Drosophila melanogaster: one gene and its partners. The gene in region 2 interacts genetically with the main gene of each other region. Each region holds a gene or a part of one and is shown on either strand. Other genes may lie near its edges.

Region 1 (4,857 bases), on a different chromosome or scaffold from region 2:
AAAAAATTATCCGTGAATTTTAAGTCTTCTCTCTTTATTGAGAAATTCTTATTATGTTTTTCGCCCATAAAAGTTACTTAACGACATCATGTATTCCATGTATTCATGAGTAGGTACAGTTAGTTTTGTGAAGTCATGCATAAATTAGAATAATTTACTCGATGAAAAGGAAAAAAATGCCGTCAAGAGAAGAATTAGCATTCAAATCTAAAGGAAATCTAAAGGATCGCATAATTCTTACTGGATCATAAATAATTCTTTGATAATTCTTTTCATATTAATTATTTAACTATTCCGTGCTTGGCAGTTTCTTAAGTCAGATTGTTTTGTAGTTATGTACATGCATGTATGAAAATCTTTAACAGGATTAATAATCTAAAAGCTATTCCTTTGAAATCCCCATCATCATCCATTCTGAACTCCACACCTTGCCTCGGCGAAGTACTTTCCACTTGATAGTTTGCCCGCATCAGAAATGGGCATTAAGTGATCTGGAGGGGATTCAGGCGGGGGGGGGGGGGGGACTGGGCATGGAGTCTGGGGGTCTTAAGTGCCCCCAACGACCACAGCAAACACAACCGTTTGCATGATTGAGGGACGGATTGAATGAGTGCATGTCATTCCCAATCCCTGGTTGGGGTTCAAGAGAGAGTGGCCACTCCAAAAGGCCCACTCTAGGCGAACATTTATTTGCACGGTTGCAGGAGAAGTTTGAGTCTTTCATACAGTCAGGCTTCCGTAACTAGAAGTATCACATGCCGCATAGAAAGTTAGAGCTCGAATTTTTAATTACATACATGAAAACGTGTTTGTTTTATTTAGCACACATAATAAAATATCGTGACCAATTAGTGTCATCTAAAGCGGTTATCATTTGTGAAAAACATTAATTTTGTTTTATTGTAATCACAAGCCGTTGATTTTAATTCATAATGTTAGTGTTAAATGAAACTTTCAAATTGCCCAATTTACGTTGAAAATAAGGTAGTTATATTCTGTATGTCCCAAAATTATATTGGAAGTTCAGTTAAGGCAAGTTATCTGGCTGTACAGTAAGTAACTAATACAATGAAAATAAACAAAAAGGTGTAAAAGCAATTCAATAATTCTTTAGATTGAAGTAGTTAAAATATTATAGTATTTTTTTATTTTTCAGGACAATTATGTTCAAGCTTTCCACTAGGATGATCTACTTGGGTTCCACTGTAGCTTAAAGAGCAGCTCAAGCACGACGGAGAGCAAACAAAACACAGTAGAGAGCACACACACAACCACACACACTCTATTGCCGCTCATCTGGAGAGTGGCAGCTGCATGTTGCAGCTGATCTGCAATTGCAAGAGAGGGAGACCATCTTGACTTAGCCCTTCCACGTAAGTGAAAGCGAGGTAGCGACTGTCTAGAAACAGCTTGTTTTGCTCGCACTCATAGGGGAATCGAGAACCATCGGCACGAGACCCTAACTCACTACACAGTAAAAAAAAAAATTCTCAATCAGTAAGCTAATAATTAATGTTTAATTTGTACCTTTTTTAATTTAATTAAATTCTTGCATTAAGTTGGTATATTATTTTTCATTTTTTCATATAACAACTTAAAAATTTGTATATTAGAACTAATTTTAAAGTTGATTCAACGTTCGATAACATCACATTTCTTACATCTTAACTGGTATATCCAAGATTAAAACTGCATAGTCATATTAATTTTAAAATAATAGAAAACTATATATACACATATACTGTAAAATAGAGCAAAGTGCACGCCGTTTTTCTCACTGTAAGATCTCGGACTGGGCCGTGAAAGTGAAACACAACAACACTTGCCATTGCGCGCTGTTTGTTTGGTTGTGTGAATACGCTGCTTTGTTTGCCTTGGCCTGGGAAAAAGATAACAAACGCTTTTTGCACGAGACTCGATTCGAAACGCTTGATAAGGAGGACGCAGCACGAGCGCATCAAAATCCAACCAAAACAAAAGTTTACACTGAGCAGACTGCGCAGAGCAGGGGAATATGTGTATTGAGCCGGCTGTTTGTTATCAGCCGCAAGAGCACGTGTGATTAGGCGGCTTTAGCTAACCTCAACTTGGCGTTAGCTTATAGGTAACGAACGCGTGATACGGACTAGCAACATACCCTTTTCTCGGCACTGTCGCAGGGGTTGCTCAGACTCAGCGAAGAGGAGCTCAATGACGAGGTTGTGGGCGCACCGCTGGCCGTGTTTGGTGTGCTCATCTGGGGCAGGGCATCCGTGGGCACGGCATCCAGCTGCTCCTGCTTGATCCCGGCGATAAGCGGCAGGAAGTCGTTCTTTAGCTGCTCCAAATCCATATCCATGTTGGCGAAGTCCTGCGATTTAACCGCGTAGGCGGTTGCTGGCGATCGTTGAAATTAAAACGTGGGCGTGCTAATTATAGCAACTGATTTTTGGTTGACTGACCGACCGACCGAATGTTTCCCTAAAGGCTGTCGCCTTGAAACGGCATGACTATTGCGATTATGTTGCGGTATTATTGTTTTGGAATTAGTTGGGTAGTTAATCCATTCCAATGCTTACACGCACGCACACGCACAAACACACACAGGGCGCGCGCACCAATACACAGGAACTACACGAGAGCAGGCAAAAACAACGATTTGTGCTTGTATGGATGTTCACAAACGATTTTTCGCTGATTCTTAAAGTTTTGTTCGTAGTTGACTCCTCTTCAATTGGGTGGCTAATGCATTTTAATTTCACCTTCGACTTCTGGCTTGCAAAAATATTGGGTTCTCCCTCTCTCTTTCGCACAGAGCGACACAACTTTCGTTTTACTTATACACGACGTTCGCTCGAATTTCGCTGCTATTTTTCGGTCTGGCCGTCGATTTTTCCAGCGATTCGTGCCGCATTTCGTCCATACGCGGCTGCTATTCTTTATTCGCGCTGCGAGCGCGCTCTTAGTGCGGTTTTATTGGCGTAATTCGCTGCGAAAACACACGGTCTCACGGCGTTTGCTCTCGTTGGACGCTTCTTCTGTACAAAAAATGTTCAGCCATTTTGGATTCAATTAATTCATGTCGGCGTTGCCAGTACGACGGCATTTCGAGGGCTGTTACGCACGGCCGTGGAAACGTAAGCAGCTGAGGTCACACTAAACACGCGATCTGGCAATACCACAATTGAATTCGCCGTTCATTTCGTAAAAAATCATATTAATGTTGTAATACATGGTCAAGATGCCATTTATTTACAATTTAAAACTAATAACTTAGCCTGGTATTAAAAGGTTATAGTAAAATATAACATAATTTTTAAAATAAACTTGTAACGTCTTCGTTCTGTTAAGTCATAACGTTACGTAAAGCTTTGAACATTTTTCTCCACACAGCTAATTTAAAACTTAAGTAAATCAAAAGTAGCATTTCGGAAACTCAACTTAATTATTGAGCTAATTCAAAGAACGCGATTTTCGAAAAAAACATATTTGTATTAGCCAAACAGAGCTGTTAAATAAAACAGCTGATCCGTAACAGAGCAAGAAGAAGAAGCACAACCACACGTGTGTGAATTCCTCCACTTTAAATCCAGAATTGTTTACTTAATGTTTTTAAGACGACTTTTAAACGACTACACCAAGGCAGGTTAATTATTAGTGATCACACCTCCAATTCGAGAATTTATAATAATTAATTTTCTTACAATAGTTCGCCTGAAAACCCTTTGCAATCCCTGGAATCGCCACAAATCCTTCGCCGCAGCGATGTCAGAGGCTCTAGATAAACTGGAGGTGGAGAAGGAAGCCAGGAAAGAGGCCAAAGAACTGGAGGGCGAAGCCGTGAAGGACGCCAACCGCATCAAGAGAACACTTAAACGCAAGAAATGGGTCGATTGGAAGGAGCAGGACGAGAAGGATGCCGCCAACGGCGTGAAGCGAGCGCCGTTCGATCCCGCCGACCGGATCAAGCGCAAGAAGAGCGCCATCCTGCTTAGCTACTGCGGTGCGAACTACTATGGTATGCAGCGCAATCCCGGCATGCAGACCATCGAGGAGGAGCTCTTCAAAGCCATGCTAAAGCACAAGTGGATTACAGAGGACAGCTTTGAGCAGATTCAGATTTCCTGTTTCCAAAGAGCGGCCAGGACCGACAAGGGCGTCTCCGCCGCCCGCCAGGTGTGCTCCGTCAAGCTGCGTTAGTTTACTTATTCTATTTTACAAGACAATACTAAACCTATTCCTTCCTGCAGCTGAGGAGCTGGACCTGGAGGCCTTCAATGCCGATCTGCCGCAACAGATCCGTCTGTTTGGCGTAGAACGCGTGACTAAGGGCTTCAATGCCAAGGATCAATGCAATGCTCGGACCTACACCTACACACTGCCCACCGTGGCCTTTGCTCCGTTTGAGGAAAAGGTCGACGACGTGCACGACACCTTCCGGATTTCACCAGAGCTGCTGCAGAAGGTTAAAGAAACCCTGAAGCTCTACGAGGGCACGAAGAACTTCCACAACTTCACCAGCAAGAAGTAAATAAGCCAGGTTTATACTTCATTTCTGCTCCAACTAATATTTTGTTTACTACCCTTGTAGAAGCTTTCTGGATCCTTCGTCCAAGCGCTTCATCATGTCCTTTACGAGCAGCGAGCCATTCCGGAGTCCCCAGGACATCGAATTTGTCACACTTAAGGTTAAGGGTCAGAGCTTTATGCTGCACCAGATTCGCAAGATGGTGGGTCTAGCCATTGCCATTGTAAGGGGGAACACGACGGCGGCCACTTTAGAGCGGGCACTGACGGAGGAGCGTCTGGACCTGCCGATGGCCCCTGGACTGGGCCTCGTGCTGGACACAGTGCACTACGAGCGCTACAACGATCGCT
Region 2 (7,859 bases):
ATTTCTAATCTATTTTCAAATAATAATAACGTTAAGGCAATGCAAAACAAGAATTTTTAGCATGGTGCCAATTGATCAAAAATAATAAAGATTTAAAGTCTAAGAAGGGGGTCAAATTTACAATGCATAAGCATACGTGTGCACACATACAATTGTCTGCTATCACTGTATACGTAGAAAAGAGCTATTTGCTGTAGCGCTCTCCACTCTCTCGCTCTCTCTCAAAAATTCGAGAGAGCCTGGAGCCACCTTCTAGATCCATTGCCAAAAAAATGTGTGCTAAAAAATCGCGTTGCGTTACGCATCTTGTTATTCTATTGTCTTTGGTCGAAGGAAGTTGGGCAGGTGGAAAGGAAGCTGGGCGAGTGTTTCTGCTTACATGTGTAGTTTGTTTATTTCACATAAGTTTAGGTTCTATTGTTGGCTTCTCATCATGCGTGTAGCTTTGAATTCACTAATTTTTGCATTTTGTTTCGTTTTTCATTAGGTTTTTATAACATGAAGATTTCTTTGCAATCGGTTAACATCAAATAAGTTTTTAACTGTTGATTATTTACTATATATCTATTCTGCTTCTGAGCCTTGTGACTGGTTCTGTGTGTGTGTGTGTGTGTGTGTGGGAGTGTGTGAGTATGTGTTTGGTAGTGTCTATTTGATCCTGTCCTTCTTCGTGTCCTGCTGCTGCTCTTGCTTAGTACGAAGAAAAATATATATAATTCAATATATATATTTATATATATTACGATTTTATGGTGATTTCCTTCTGGCTTCTGTGTTCTGAAATGGCTTCAATTTTGCTTTGCAACTCTTGTATGGGGATTTATCCTGCGTTTCTGGGAATTTCGAGTCTCCTTTCTCTTGCGTTTCTGTGTAGCTTCTGCATTATCCTTAACTTCTGTTCAACTCCTTCGGCTTCGATTTCTGCGTGAGTGCGTGCGTGCGTGAGTGTGTGTGTGTGTGTGTGTGTGTGTGTTGCGTGGCTTGGCGGATGTTGGTCGGTATGTGGATGGGGACAGTGTTTGCTGCATTTCGGATGCTGGATGGGGTGGCGCTTAGCGGGCACTACATTCCGATTGCCTGCCGCTCGGCTTAGCTTAGTTATCCAGCCATGACTCGCGTCATTCTGTGTACTCCCACCACTCCTTGTCGTACCCCTCGTGCACGTGCTTCAGCAGAACAGAGCACCGCTTTTCACAATACCTAATCGAATGGAGAGACCAATCAATGTTTGGATAATGAGTCGTTTGTATGTTGGGGACACGGACATGGCTCGCTCGCTCACCTGTATTTATCTTGCACTTTCTGCTTAATATCAGCCAAATTCTCGGATGTAATATCACGTTCCAAATACTCCGACAACATCTCGGTTGCCGACTCCAAGTCCTTTTGATTATCCTCGAATATCATGGATTGATTGTTCTTTTTCAAGTAATATGCAAACACGTACGTGTACATGAGAGTCTGACGGCACTGGCAAAGTATGTCGACAGCCTTTTTCAGAAACTGCACCTGCAATTGCAATGAGTGTGCTGAATTCGCATTGTTATGGTCACGAGTTTTCACCACTTACCTCAATCCATGACATGTTGTGCTGTTGCATCTCCTCCATCTTTTGCTTCACAGATGCATACAATTTGTTCTCAAACTTCATCGACTGCATGTGGTTCATGTAGCGATTGTAGTAGTGGAGATATCTGTAGATTTGGCAGAAGATAATATATCAGTTGAGTTTTATTCCATAATGACTTTCACATTTCTGCCTAGATACTTTCGTGTTTCCTTGATTAGTTTTAGCATTTCTAATTCTACAGGTTTAATCAGCGATAAAATTTAATTACGAATTATAGCTGATTCATTCCTTTCTACGGCTTTCAATCGTTATCTTTTCTTAAAAGAAATTAGCAGATAAAATAAACCGCTAACCGTCATTATCAGCGAACTGCGAAAATAATACACAACAAGTATCACTTAAAAAAAAAAAAAAACAAAAGGGGTTCCTATCCTGTGACATCGTTCACAGTCGAATGACCCACCTGGCCAGCGAGGAGCGCAGCTTCTCCTGAGCATCGCGGGCCGTCTTGGCCTCGTCCTCGTCATAGCGATTGCAGTTGTACCAGGAGGAGCCGTGCGGCTCCCAAGAACCGAGGCACACCCAGCAGAACTCGTTTTTGCAGTTCTGGTTCTTGCACACCATGTGGTTGCAGCCGCCGTCCTTCTCGATGGTCACGCTGCACCTGGGACACTCTTTGGTATTGGCCGCGATCCAGTTGGACGTCTCCGAGTCGTCGTCACACTTCTTGATCCACTTCTTTAGCCAACGGCACTTGACCGGATCGTGCCAGTTCTCGCCGCAGGCAAAGCAGAAGACATGGCCGCATTTGCAATGGACGCGACGTGGCTCCGCGTACGGCACCTTCACCGCATAGGTGCAGTCGACGGACGGACACCAGCGCAGCAGCTGGTTGCACTCCACAAAGCTATTGGTGATCAGCTGCTGGTACTTGACCCGCACCCGTGCGTCCGTCACTAGGTTGGCGACGGTCACGTCGTCCACCAGGATATCACAGCCGTGCGCCGCGCACGAAATGGTCTGGCCCAGACCCTCCGCCACGATCTTCGTTGACAGATACTCGTGCCAACAGGGCATGCAGAATCGGTGTCCGCATTCCAGCCCGGCCATGGACTAAATGGAACGAAGAGAAAGTAGCTATTAGTATACATTGTAGATATTCTTGAAGTTGTTGCTTGTGGAGCAAAAGAGTATACAATATTATAAATATATTATAATCGTATTCTATAATATATACTTAAAGATCACGCGAACTATGAGAGCTTAATGATGAAGCATACAGCAAATTAAAACCACCTACATAGCGTATGGTAATTTTAAACTTTTCATAGGTGTTTTACGCTCTGAGTATTTGTTAGTTAGCTTGTCTATAATATATTTAAGTTTACTTTGCTGTTATAACCCAAAGTTGCCCATTGCAATCTACTCTTTTAAAACGTGATACTAAATTTTACTTTTTAAACTACATTATTAAATGTTTGATTCCACAAGACAGTTGGATTCCAGCGAATTACTGCTGAACTGCTTACATAACCAAATTCAGGCTAACAATCAACAATTGTAAATCAAGCAAGTAAATTAGTGATAACGTAAGCCAATAAAAATAATTGATAAAATACAAATCAAGTCTTTTTAGAATATTTTAGATTTGTATAGCAAAGCAACGCCCTAACATTATTATCAGGTCATCAGATAAGGCACCATTGACCAGTTAAAAAATCATGTTTCCCCCCAAAATATTCGTGGTTAATCAGCGGGAAAATATATTCTACACCGCAATTAGGTCACGGAGTTACTCATCCCTTCTCCATGACAACTTACATCTGGCGGGAGCTGTGAAAAGCATATTTCGCACTCTTCGCACTGACTGCGTGAGGTCTGAAAATGAAGGGAAACGCATTAGATGAGACATCAAATGGAGCCTTAGCACTGGGCTCACCTTTTGTTTGATCGCTTCGGTGGCGTTGAAAGGATTTATGACATGTGCGCATTTGAAGAACTCATCAGTGTTGTCGTCGAAGTACTTCTCCAATAGCTTCTCCTTGTCCCACTTGAAGTGATTTAGCAGTATCCGTGTGGTGGGTGTGGGTAGCTGTGGCCATAGACAACAAAACAAATCGAATGTCAGTGGATGATGGCACATATGTACATATATGGGGTAAAAGAGCGGGGGCTGCATCCCAGTTGGCATCGAAATCAATGCCAAATCATTTGCGATCAGCAGCAGTATGATCAGCAGTACCTATGTATAATCGTGGATGGGGTTGTGATGTGGAACCACTATAACTACCACTGGCAATTGGTCTATCTAAACAGTATAATTTTTAGGATATATAACATTTCTTGGCATTCCTAATAACTAATCGATTTGTTTGGAAATCGAGAAAAAGTACGTATGTATGTACAATTCAATTTTAGAGGGAAGAGTTACTCAAAGGTGCTTTGTTTAACTAACAATTAGATAGCTACATACATGATCTGTATCAATACTGAAAGTTAACACTCAAGCTAAGTGAATTTCGCTTATTATTGCAATGAAAGATTTTCTGATGTTTAAATGTCAATGAAACAAAAAAGTATTACATGGATTCTACATTGATCCTAATGTATTCATTTGAAATGGAATCTATAATACCATTTTAAGGGAATCCCCCGAAATCTGGGAAAGTGAAAACTGTGCTAGTGAACTTCGGGCAAGTCAGCTGCTGATGCGGATATGGGATGCGGATCTGGCGACCTTGGGTGCGCCTGGGTGCTTGTGTTCCGATTTCACTGGCACTGGCAGTCATCAGCGGACGACCTTCAGCTTATCCCAGATCCCAGGCAGGGCGGTGGGCGGCAAGAGCGAGGGGTGGGGAAAGCGATTCACGGATACACATGCCCAAATGCACTGTGCTGCACACAGTGATGCCTCCGAGCGGCGAACAGATCAGATATTCTTGGCAGCTATACGCCACTAAACTATGTCAAGCCATTTGGCTTTCACTGCAAATCGCAGCGCTAACGAAAGTCGAAACAAACATGTTCCTGCTAGGAAGGCCTGACTGTAGAGCAATCAAAGGTGACTGCTTGCCTATCTTTGTTGTCTGGACTGGGTGAAGAATGTACCTCTATGGCTGCCCTAGGACTGATAGTTAAGTTGCGGATGGATAGTTATACTAGCGGGTGTTCACTGTACTTGCGCTTGGCCATACCTTCAGCAGCAGATTGGCTTCGTCGATGATCTCGCGCTGGTGTTGCACAATCTCATCGGTGGTGAGCACCTTGTACTGGTAGTCATCTTGGTCCATCTGGCGGTCCGCGGAGCTTGGCAGGTCCACCTCCATGCCAAAGTCATCATCGCCGTCGTCGCCCGAGGAGACGTTGCCCGAATCGACATTATCGCAGAAATCATTGTCATTGTCCGAGTCCATTTTTCGGTTTCTGTTTTGCGTTACTGCTTCTGCTTCAGCTGCTGGTGCTCCTTCTGCTCTCTTCCTCTTCCTGTTCCTCTTGCGCCTCCCGCACCACTTCCGTTCCTCTTTGTTTTCAGCTTTCGAGGCTTTGTTTTCCAGCGTTTACTTCCAGTATTTTACTTTTGCATTTGCATTTGCGTTTGTTTCTGTCTTTTCGTTTTCCTTTGCCTCGTTTTCCACTTGCTTTTGTTTACGTTTTTGCGCAGCCCTTTTCGCCAGTTGTTATTATTGCTGCCCTCGCAGTGGCGTGGCCAGTTGTGTTTGGTCGCTGCACTTGGTGCACAGCTTCTATTCCCTTTTTCACACTAACTTATTTTGTGCGCTGCTAATTTGTAGGCTGCGTGCTGGCTATTTTTATTTGTAAATGAAAAATGAATATGTGAGATTTTCTAATGACAATACGAGACCCTGCACGGTCGCAGCGCAGTCATACTGGTTCGGTATTTTTAAGAAGAACGGTCACACTGGCCCGTGCGCTTAACAGGGCCGAACTGCTGATTTAACAGCGAACAACACTATGTTAAATGTGTGCATGTGTGTGTAAAATCATGTAAAATCGACCGAACGTCGATGGGACAAACAAAAAAAAACAACGAAATTATGTACACAAATGCATTTTTCTTTAGGGCAGATTATTTTGTTTTCAAGGTAATGGCACACACCAGCACACTGCGCACACACATGCGCACATTACGTGTGTATTGCCACACACACGTACACAAAGGCACAGTCGAAAAGCTTATGACTTTTTGTTGTTTTTCTATGCACTTTTCCAAAGAAAAAACACTAGCTTATTGCACTAATCGTGCTCGCCTTCGTCGCGAAGTTCGGTTGCAATGCACAAATTAAATGGAATTTTCACGAAAAACTAACCGTAAAGCCAACAAAATGATTTGCATCGGTGTTGGTTCTCACTTGCTCTCTTTGCTTTTCTCAAAAAATAACACACACACACACGCGCTCGCACAGTGGAGTCAAGTGTGCGTGAAAGTGTGTGCGCATGTTTGCGCTTTTTTCCCATTTACTTTCGTTCCGATTGCCGCCTGTTTCATACCGTTCCGTTAAATCGTATGTTTAACAACATCTGCTTATCGATGGGTGCCAAAAAAGCAATAGTGACTTATCGACGGCTGGGAAACAGTAGATTCAAAAACAAGTGAGCTTCCAATGAACGTTTTCTTGATTCTCAGTGTATTCATCAAAAGAGATTATCTTAAAAATGAGACATGCGCTTAATTTACAGAAACAGTTTTTGAGAAAATCCCTTTACAGAACAAGACTTGAAGGGATCCATTCAAAGGCACGAACCACAGTGTCAAATTCCAATCCGAGACATAAACCTGTTTGAAATAAATATTGTTATTTAAACATTATTAATTATTCTTGGAATTAAAGGGTATACTAGATTCGTTGAAAAGCGCTTCCGACTTCATAAAGTACACATATTCTTGATCAGGATAACTAGGCGTCTTGATCTATTATTGAGATCTTTTATTCGACTGTCAAGATATTATACTCAAACGTTTTCTCATGTTTTTAACTGCAACCTCCGGTTGTTTGCGGTTAGAGTTTAATCTTTAAAGTGGCGAACAATATAAAATTGCTAAAACTTCGCACGAGCTAAAAATATATTTGAATAAAATTATTTTAAACTTTACTGTCCCAATTTTCATTGTTTCACAAGTACCGTTAATCAAATTCAATGGTAAATTGCCACTCTGTTGTAACATCGATGTATCGATGCCATATCGATACCTTATCGATACTGTATCGGTTGATACAGAGTTGCACTGGCAATGGGCGCCTTATTCGATTTCACTTAAAGTTTTTTATTGTATATTGTGTTTTTATTGCAACACCTGACAACTGTTGTTGTGTATAAGGTATGTATATAAAGAGCCAGCTGGCTTAATCAGAATGCGGTCATAATGCAAATTCGTTGGATGGCAGTTCGATTTCTTCTTCTTCTAATGGTGGCAGCCATACGGGCCGACCTGGGCGGATCCGGAAGTTGTGGGCCCTACGAGTGCCGTCTGAGCAACCCGATCTGCCGATGCGAGTCCTTCTGCCAGGAGTTCAGTCAGCGGTGCTGGAAAAACCCATCGGGATGCCATTGTGCGAGAGGATATGCCCGTAACGAACGAGGACACTGTGTGCCTCTTATTTTGTGCCCCTGATATAGGATTCACCATCAAAACAAATATCTAAACGAATATCACCTTAAAATTCATATGTAAACTAAAAACCGATTGCATGGAAATAATCAGCATGCAAAATAAATACAGCAGACACATTTTTAATGAGAAAAAAATGGTTATAAAATTGATTGGGCGTTTGCCTCATTACACAGAAGTAAATATTTTAATGTTTTCAATAATTTTCTATTGGTTTAATATTAGGCATTTGTAGAAATTATAAAACCAATAAATAAAAACTACAAAATTACATGACGGCAGTTACTAAATAGCATTTTTAACATGAACCAAAATGTATACCATTTTTGCATATAATGAAAATGACAATTTGATTGTAATTCAATCAATTGAGTTAAATTTACCGAATGCACTGAGCGCATGAATGGCTGCATTGTTTTTTTTTTTCGCCACAAAAAAGCAGCTGAAAAATGCACCGCTCCATTGGGAGTATTTAAGTCATTTTCATTTATGAATAGTAATACCAGGCAGTTGCCACTAAAACCCGGCCATCGCATATAATTGTGATTAAATTACTTTGTATGTATATTTATACATTAATACATATGCATACATATGTATGTATCCATGTTGGCCATTACCTATGCAAGCATATATATATATACATACATTGTTCCAATT
Region 3 (4,817 bases), on a different chromosome or scaffold from region 2:
ATTGAAGGCGATCGCAGATGCAGAAATCGTGGAATAATTCGAAACCGATTGTGTAATTGGTGGCTCCGACTGGTTCACAGACTCCAAATCAGTTTCTACTTCTGAAACCAGAATTAATTACTTTTATAAATATTAGTGATTTATATAGAATCACGTACCCTTGTCTTTTGTAATTTGCCTTCCACTGTTGTCCGAAAAATTTAGGAACTGCAGCAAATATATGTCCGTAGTGATGCGAAATGGTTCCAACCAAAGGCACACCACTGTGCCGGGAATTTTTTCCTGCTCCGAATGGACCTCCTCCAGGGGAAACTGACACTGCATCTCAAGCCACTTATTGTCTGCATTCTTTGAAGTGGACAACACCACATTGCGTATATTCATTTTGGTATGGACGGCATCAGTGTGGACACCTTGAAGTGACCCCACTGCAGCCAAATGTGTATGGTACTTGTGATAGACCAGGTTTAGTTTGGTGCCCACACTCTGCAGCTTGATCACATCAGAATTGACGTTGACATTGGCTACAATGTGGGCCAGATCACAAAGATCTTGGCCACTGAAACTCGAAATTAACGGCACCAAGCGCTTTGCGATGATTAGCTCGCGCTTTGAGAACTCTAAAGTTATGATCTCTGATTTTATTTCCGAAGTCTCTAAAGGCGCCTCGTTTTGACGCCAAAGATGAGGCGCCAAAAGGCGGTTCCAGTTCACTTGAACGCGTGGAATATTCAAAAGCTTGGCACGTCCATTATCCGGAGTTGTATTCATAATCATAAGCGCCAAGTTTTTCACATTGAAGTGAAAACAGTTGTAGCAGGCATTAACCACGTCCCGAGGCTTCTCTTCTAGATGAGTAATCAGTTGGACCAGGCGAACAGGATTCACTGGTCCACACATTGTGCCCTCGACTAGGGAGATCTTAAGCTGCAAATATGGTAGCAAAGATTGTCTGACTGTGGTCGTCAGTTGGTGTTGATTGATCGCGGATGACTCATCTTGCTGCTGGCGGGGATACAACTGAACCACAATGTTACGCAACTCAATTTTGTAGTTACAAGTGGGCACCAATCCCATCAGATACTCCAGATCAGGTATAGTCATTTCAGAGTTCTTGTTTTCCGGCTCGGGGACACCGCGATCCTCATCCTTCATCGATTCTGAACGATATCCCGGGTAATCGTAAGGACGAATTAAATCACTAATTACCTTTTTAACCTGGACGAACGACTGCGAAAAGTGGAACGTGATTCCGGCGGACAATAGACGATACTGGATGCGAACTCCCAGATCTCTGAGCTGGCTCTCCGCCACGGGATGGCTGCTGGGCTTAGGCACCCGGTGCTCGATGACGTCGAAGGCCAAAACAGGACTGCGAAACAGCATGTATTCATCCGTGTTCCTGGCCACGTAATCCGCGTAGTTGTAGCTGCACCAGGACCGTTCGGCGAACATGTAGTTCTCGTCAAACAGACTCTTGTCAATAAAGGATCGCTCTTGCTGAAACTTTATATAAAAAATAGTAAAGAGTGAAGGCAATAAACAGTCTTAGGATCAACTCACTTCCTGGGTATTGACCAAGTTGCGATCCACGAGATCGTCGCTACGGTAAGCACCTAATGGCTCCATGCACATGCTAGAAAGGCCCGCCTTGACGTTGGCCCAGTCGCACTCCTTTAGAATTGTCCGCTCGTAATAAAGTCCGCCCAAACTAATTCGCAATATTGGGGTGTATCGTATTCGCTTGATGCCACCCATGCTCTGGTCGGTAAAGTACTCCGAGTTTTTAAGCTGGAAGTTCAGCTCCTCGGCGTAGACTCCCAGATCGAAGGCGTGACCAGTGGGAGTGTCGCAGGACGAGGAAGGCGCCTCAGTATCGAAACTGGGCAGTAGGCTCCAGGCCCACCAAAAGACGCTTCGTCCTGCGGATTCGGTCCCCTGTTGCGACTCGCTGCCCTCAGCTACCGCCTCCTGATCTTCTGGATTCTGGGGGTCATCCTCAAACTCGGCTGGCTTAAGCTCGAGCAGCATTTTGACCAGCCTCATCACCATGGGGAACTGCAGAGATGACACGTTGATATCCAGCGACTTCGTGAAAACTCCAATGCGTGTTGTGCTTGTTGTGGACACCGTGTTGGCGTTGTACTTGCGGAGAACCCGGCACTCCAGAGTACATCGGTAGAGAACCGGCTCCTGGCACACCTCTATCCTACCAGCTGTGTTGCGCTTGTCCAAGCAGATGGTCAAATCTGAGACCTGGAGCAACTTGCGCATGACGACGGACACCGGGTGTATGTCCACCATAGTGGGCTTCCAGTCCTCGCCGGCGGAGCTAAAGTTAAGGGTCTGCACATTCATAGAGACCACGATGTCGTCCTCCACATACTTCAGGATGATGTTGTGGCACTGCAGGTTGATGTTGTTGATGATTTTGTTGACCACGCTGGAAGAGCTTGCCGGTCCAGGACTCTTCGTCTGATCCGGCTGCTCCACGGACTCCCGCTTCGATTTCCTTCGCTGCTCCCGCTGGAAGGAGGCCCTGCGCTGCTTGCTCTCACTATCCGGCAACTTGGCCACGAATTCTATGGTATTGATGACGATCTTCACGGGCTCGGACATAAGCTTGGTCCACGGCACCAGGATGCTGAGTTCATGAATGTGGCCGGAAACTAGTTCTACTGGGAGGTTCAGCTCTTCCTCGAGCACCTCCAGGCGCAGGTCCAGATTCTGGAAGGTGACCTCGCCTTCCCACAGCGACACTTGGGCATCCTCGTCGCGGAAGTTCTTCACGTACTTGGCCACGTAGCTCAGCAGAATCGGAGTGATGTAGGACTCCAGTTTGAACATGGTGTGGCGACGCCGGAGGCTCAGGCCTCGATCCCAGCGCTGTTGACTGCTCACTTATATGACACTCTTCATTTAATGCGTTGCCGGCGGTTAACTTGAATTTACATGCTGTGAATTTTGCTACAATTCTGGGCCGAATATGTTTAACAAAACAAACATAGCCATAGAATTTTGGATTGTTTACGTTTCAGCCCCGGCAATCTGCCAATCGTTATCGTTATCGGAAGGTGCGAATTGGCAATCGATAAATTAACCTGTGAATTGCGAAGTGTAAATAAGCCTTCGAACAGCTGATTATTTTGTTGACGTTTAACGTGCAGCGGTAGGCTTTCACAATTTCATAAAAATGCCGCAAATTACGGAAAATGGCCAGGATTTTGGTGAGCTAAGAATGGGTCTAAAGTTACGCAGAAGTGATAATACAAGCTTTCACCCTTAGATGTGGTCAAATACTTCCTGCAGCTCCTGGACGAGGACAAGGATCTGTCCTCCGGCATTGCGGCTATCAGGACTCTGCTAATGATCCTGGAAAAGAAACAATGTTAGTGGGCTAATAAACCTCTTTACTGAACCATTTTAAATCATCTACAACATATTCCTCAGTTGGAACCATTCATATTCTACACACAACCATGAGGGAAGCGGTGGCTGCCATGCGGAATACGGATTTGTCTATAGCAGCCATTGTTTCTGCCGGAGAGCTCTTTTGCAGGTTCATCACCCTCAGTCTGGACGACAAGCACATGGAGGAGTGCCGGCAGATTATGTTGAATCGCGGAAAAATCTTCCTCACCAAGTTGCTCAATTCCCGGCAGGTTGGCTCTCATACGAAAAGCTAGTGCTAGCGCATGAACTAACCCCTCATTGTACCACCCAATCCAGGTGATTGCCCAGCAGGCCCAAAGGTTCATTACCGATGGCTGCCGTATATTGACGCACTCCCGATCCCGGGTGGTCCTCAAGGCGCTGATTACAGCCTCGCAGAACAAAAAGTCCTTCCACGTTTATGTGACGCAGGGCGGCACGGGAAACTCTGGGTAAGCTAGGGTGTGTTTCCGATAGAATTCAGGTGTAAGCATTGTCCGTTCTTAGCGAAGAGATGGTTAAGGATCTGCATGCGGCCGGCATCGATTGCACGCTCATTCTGGACTCAGCCACCGGCTATGTTATGGAATCGGTGGACTTTGTGCTTGTGGGGGCTGAAGCCGTGGTGGAGAGTGGTGGCATTATCAACCGCATTGGCACCTACACCATGGGTCTGTGCGCCCGTGAGATGAAGAAACCTTTCTACGTTCTGGCCGAAAGCTTCAAGTTCAGCCGTCTGTATCCACTCAATCAGCGCGATCTGCCAAACGAGTACAAGGTAGGTTCTTACTGCGTCATTAAAGCAGGAACGGCGATTAAGAGTGGGTTTATTTATAGTACTCCCGCAAACACCTAAACGATGTAAGCAAAGTGCACCCGCTGGTCGACTATACGCCACCCGTCTACATCACCCTGCTCTTCACCGACCTCGGAAGACTAACACCCTCGGCCGTAAGCGACGAGTTGATCAAACTCTACATGTAAGGGCGAATAAAGATATTGCACTTAAATACCTTTGTTTAATATGACTGTTTGAGATGAATAAATAGGGGCTCGACATTACTGAATGTACATAAGCTATAAAGCTAGTTACTCTCGCTTACACCTATGTAGAATTTATATTGTGTCTTAGAACCGCATCCTTCGCGAATAGCTCGCGTCTACCTCGTCTTCTGACCCCCAGGGATCGTAGATGTCCACGCTGTAGTGGGACGCTTCGCTGTTGCCATCGTCGTTTGTGTACTCCTCATCTGTATAGATGTCACTGCCGCTTTCGTCGTCCGACCAGTGATCGTGCATCCTAAACTGATCGTCGAGGCCATCCTGAACGTCGTCCACATCGCTGGCATTCTAAACAAAAAAAATACCAATTTATAATGCCACAT

The links. Genes that interact genetically often act in the same process or in processes that back each other up.
Region 1: of ari-1 (region 2) and bon, changing one suppresses a phenotype caused by changing the other (phenotypic suppression), as found in Drosophila melanogaster (one study listed by BioGRID).
Region 3: of ari-1 (region 2) and Vps13B, changing one suppresses a phenotype caused by changing the other (phenotypic suppression), as found in Drosophila melanogaster (one study listed by BioGRID).

What each region holds. Positions count from the first base shown.
Region 1 is NT_033777.3:20,591,325-20,596,181, reverse strand, and holds the start of bon (bonus), read right to left. Parts: upstream 3,044-4,857; 5' UTR 2,339-3,043; coding exon 2,138-2,338; intron 1-2,137. Other genes in the region: Pus1 (pseudouridine synthase 1), read left to right, coding at 3,586-3,625, 3,689-4,174, 4,230-4,506, 4,571-4,857.
Region 2 is NC_004354.4:18,131,678-18,139,536, forward strand, and holds the start of ari-1 (ariadne 1), read right to left. Parts: upstream 6,009-7,859; 5' UTR 5,899-6,008; exon of another isoform or gene 5,688-5,898; intron 5,463-5,687; exon of another isoform or gene 5,374-5,462; 5' UTR 4,984-5,373; coding exon 4,765-4,983; intron 3,663-4,764; coding exon 3,510-3,662; intron 3,449-3,509; coding exon 3,392-3,448; intron 2,684-3,391; coding exon 2,034-2,683; intron 1,695-2,033; coding exon 1,571-1,694; intron 1,510-1,570; coding exon 1,283-1,509; intron 1,201-1,282; coding exon 1,119-1,200; 3' UTR 1-1,118. Other genes in the region: CG43229 (uncharacterized protein), read left to right, coding at 6,954-7,202. UniProt on the Drosophila melanogaster protein: Atypical E3 ubiquitin-protein ligase, which catalyzes ubiquitination of target proteins together with ubiquitin-conjugating enzyme E2 Ubc10.
Region 3 is NT_033777.3:29,934,204-29,939,020, reverse strand, and holds the start of Vps13B (vacuolar protein sorting 13B), read right to left. Parts: upstream 3,044-4,817; 5' UTR 2,848-3,043; coding exon 1,564-2,847; intron 1,507-1,563; coding exon 159-1,506; intron 102-158; coding exon 1-101. Other genes in the region: eIF2Balpha (eukaryotic translation initiation factor 2B subunit alpha), read left to right, coding at 3,194-3,227, 3,287-3,388, 3,451-3,662, 3,730-3,884, 3,940-4,210, 4,270-4,416; CG42558 (uncharacterized protein), read right to left, coding at 4,561-4,782.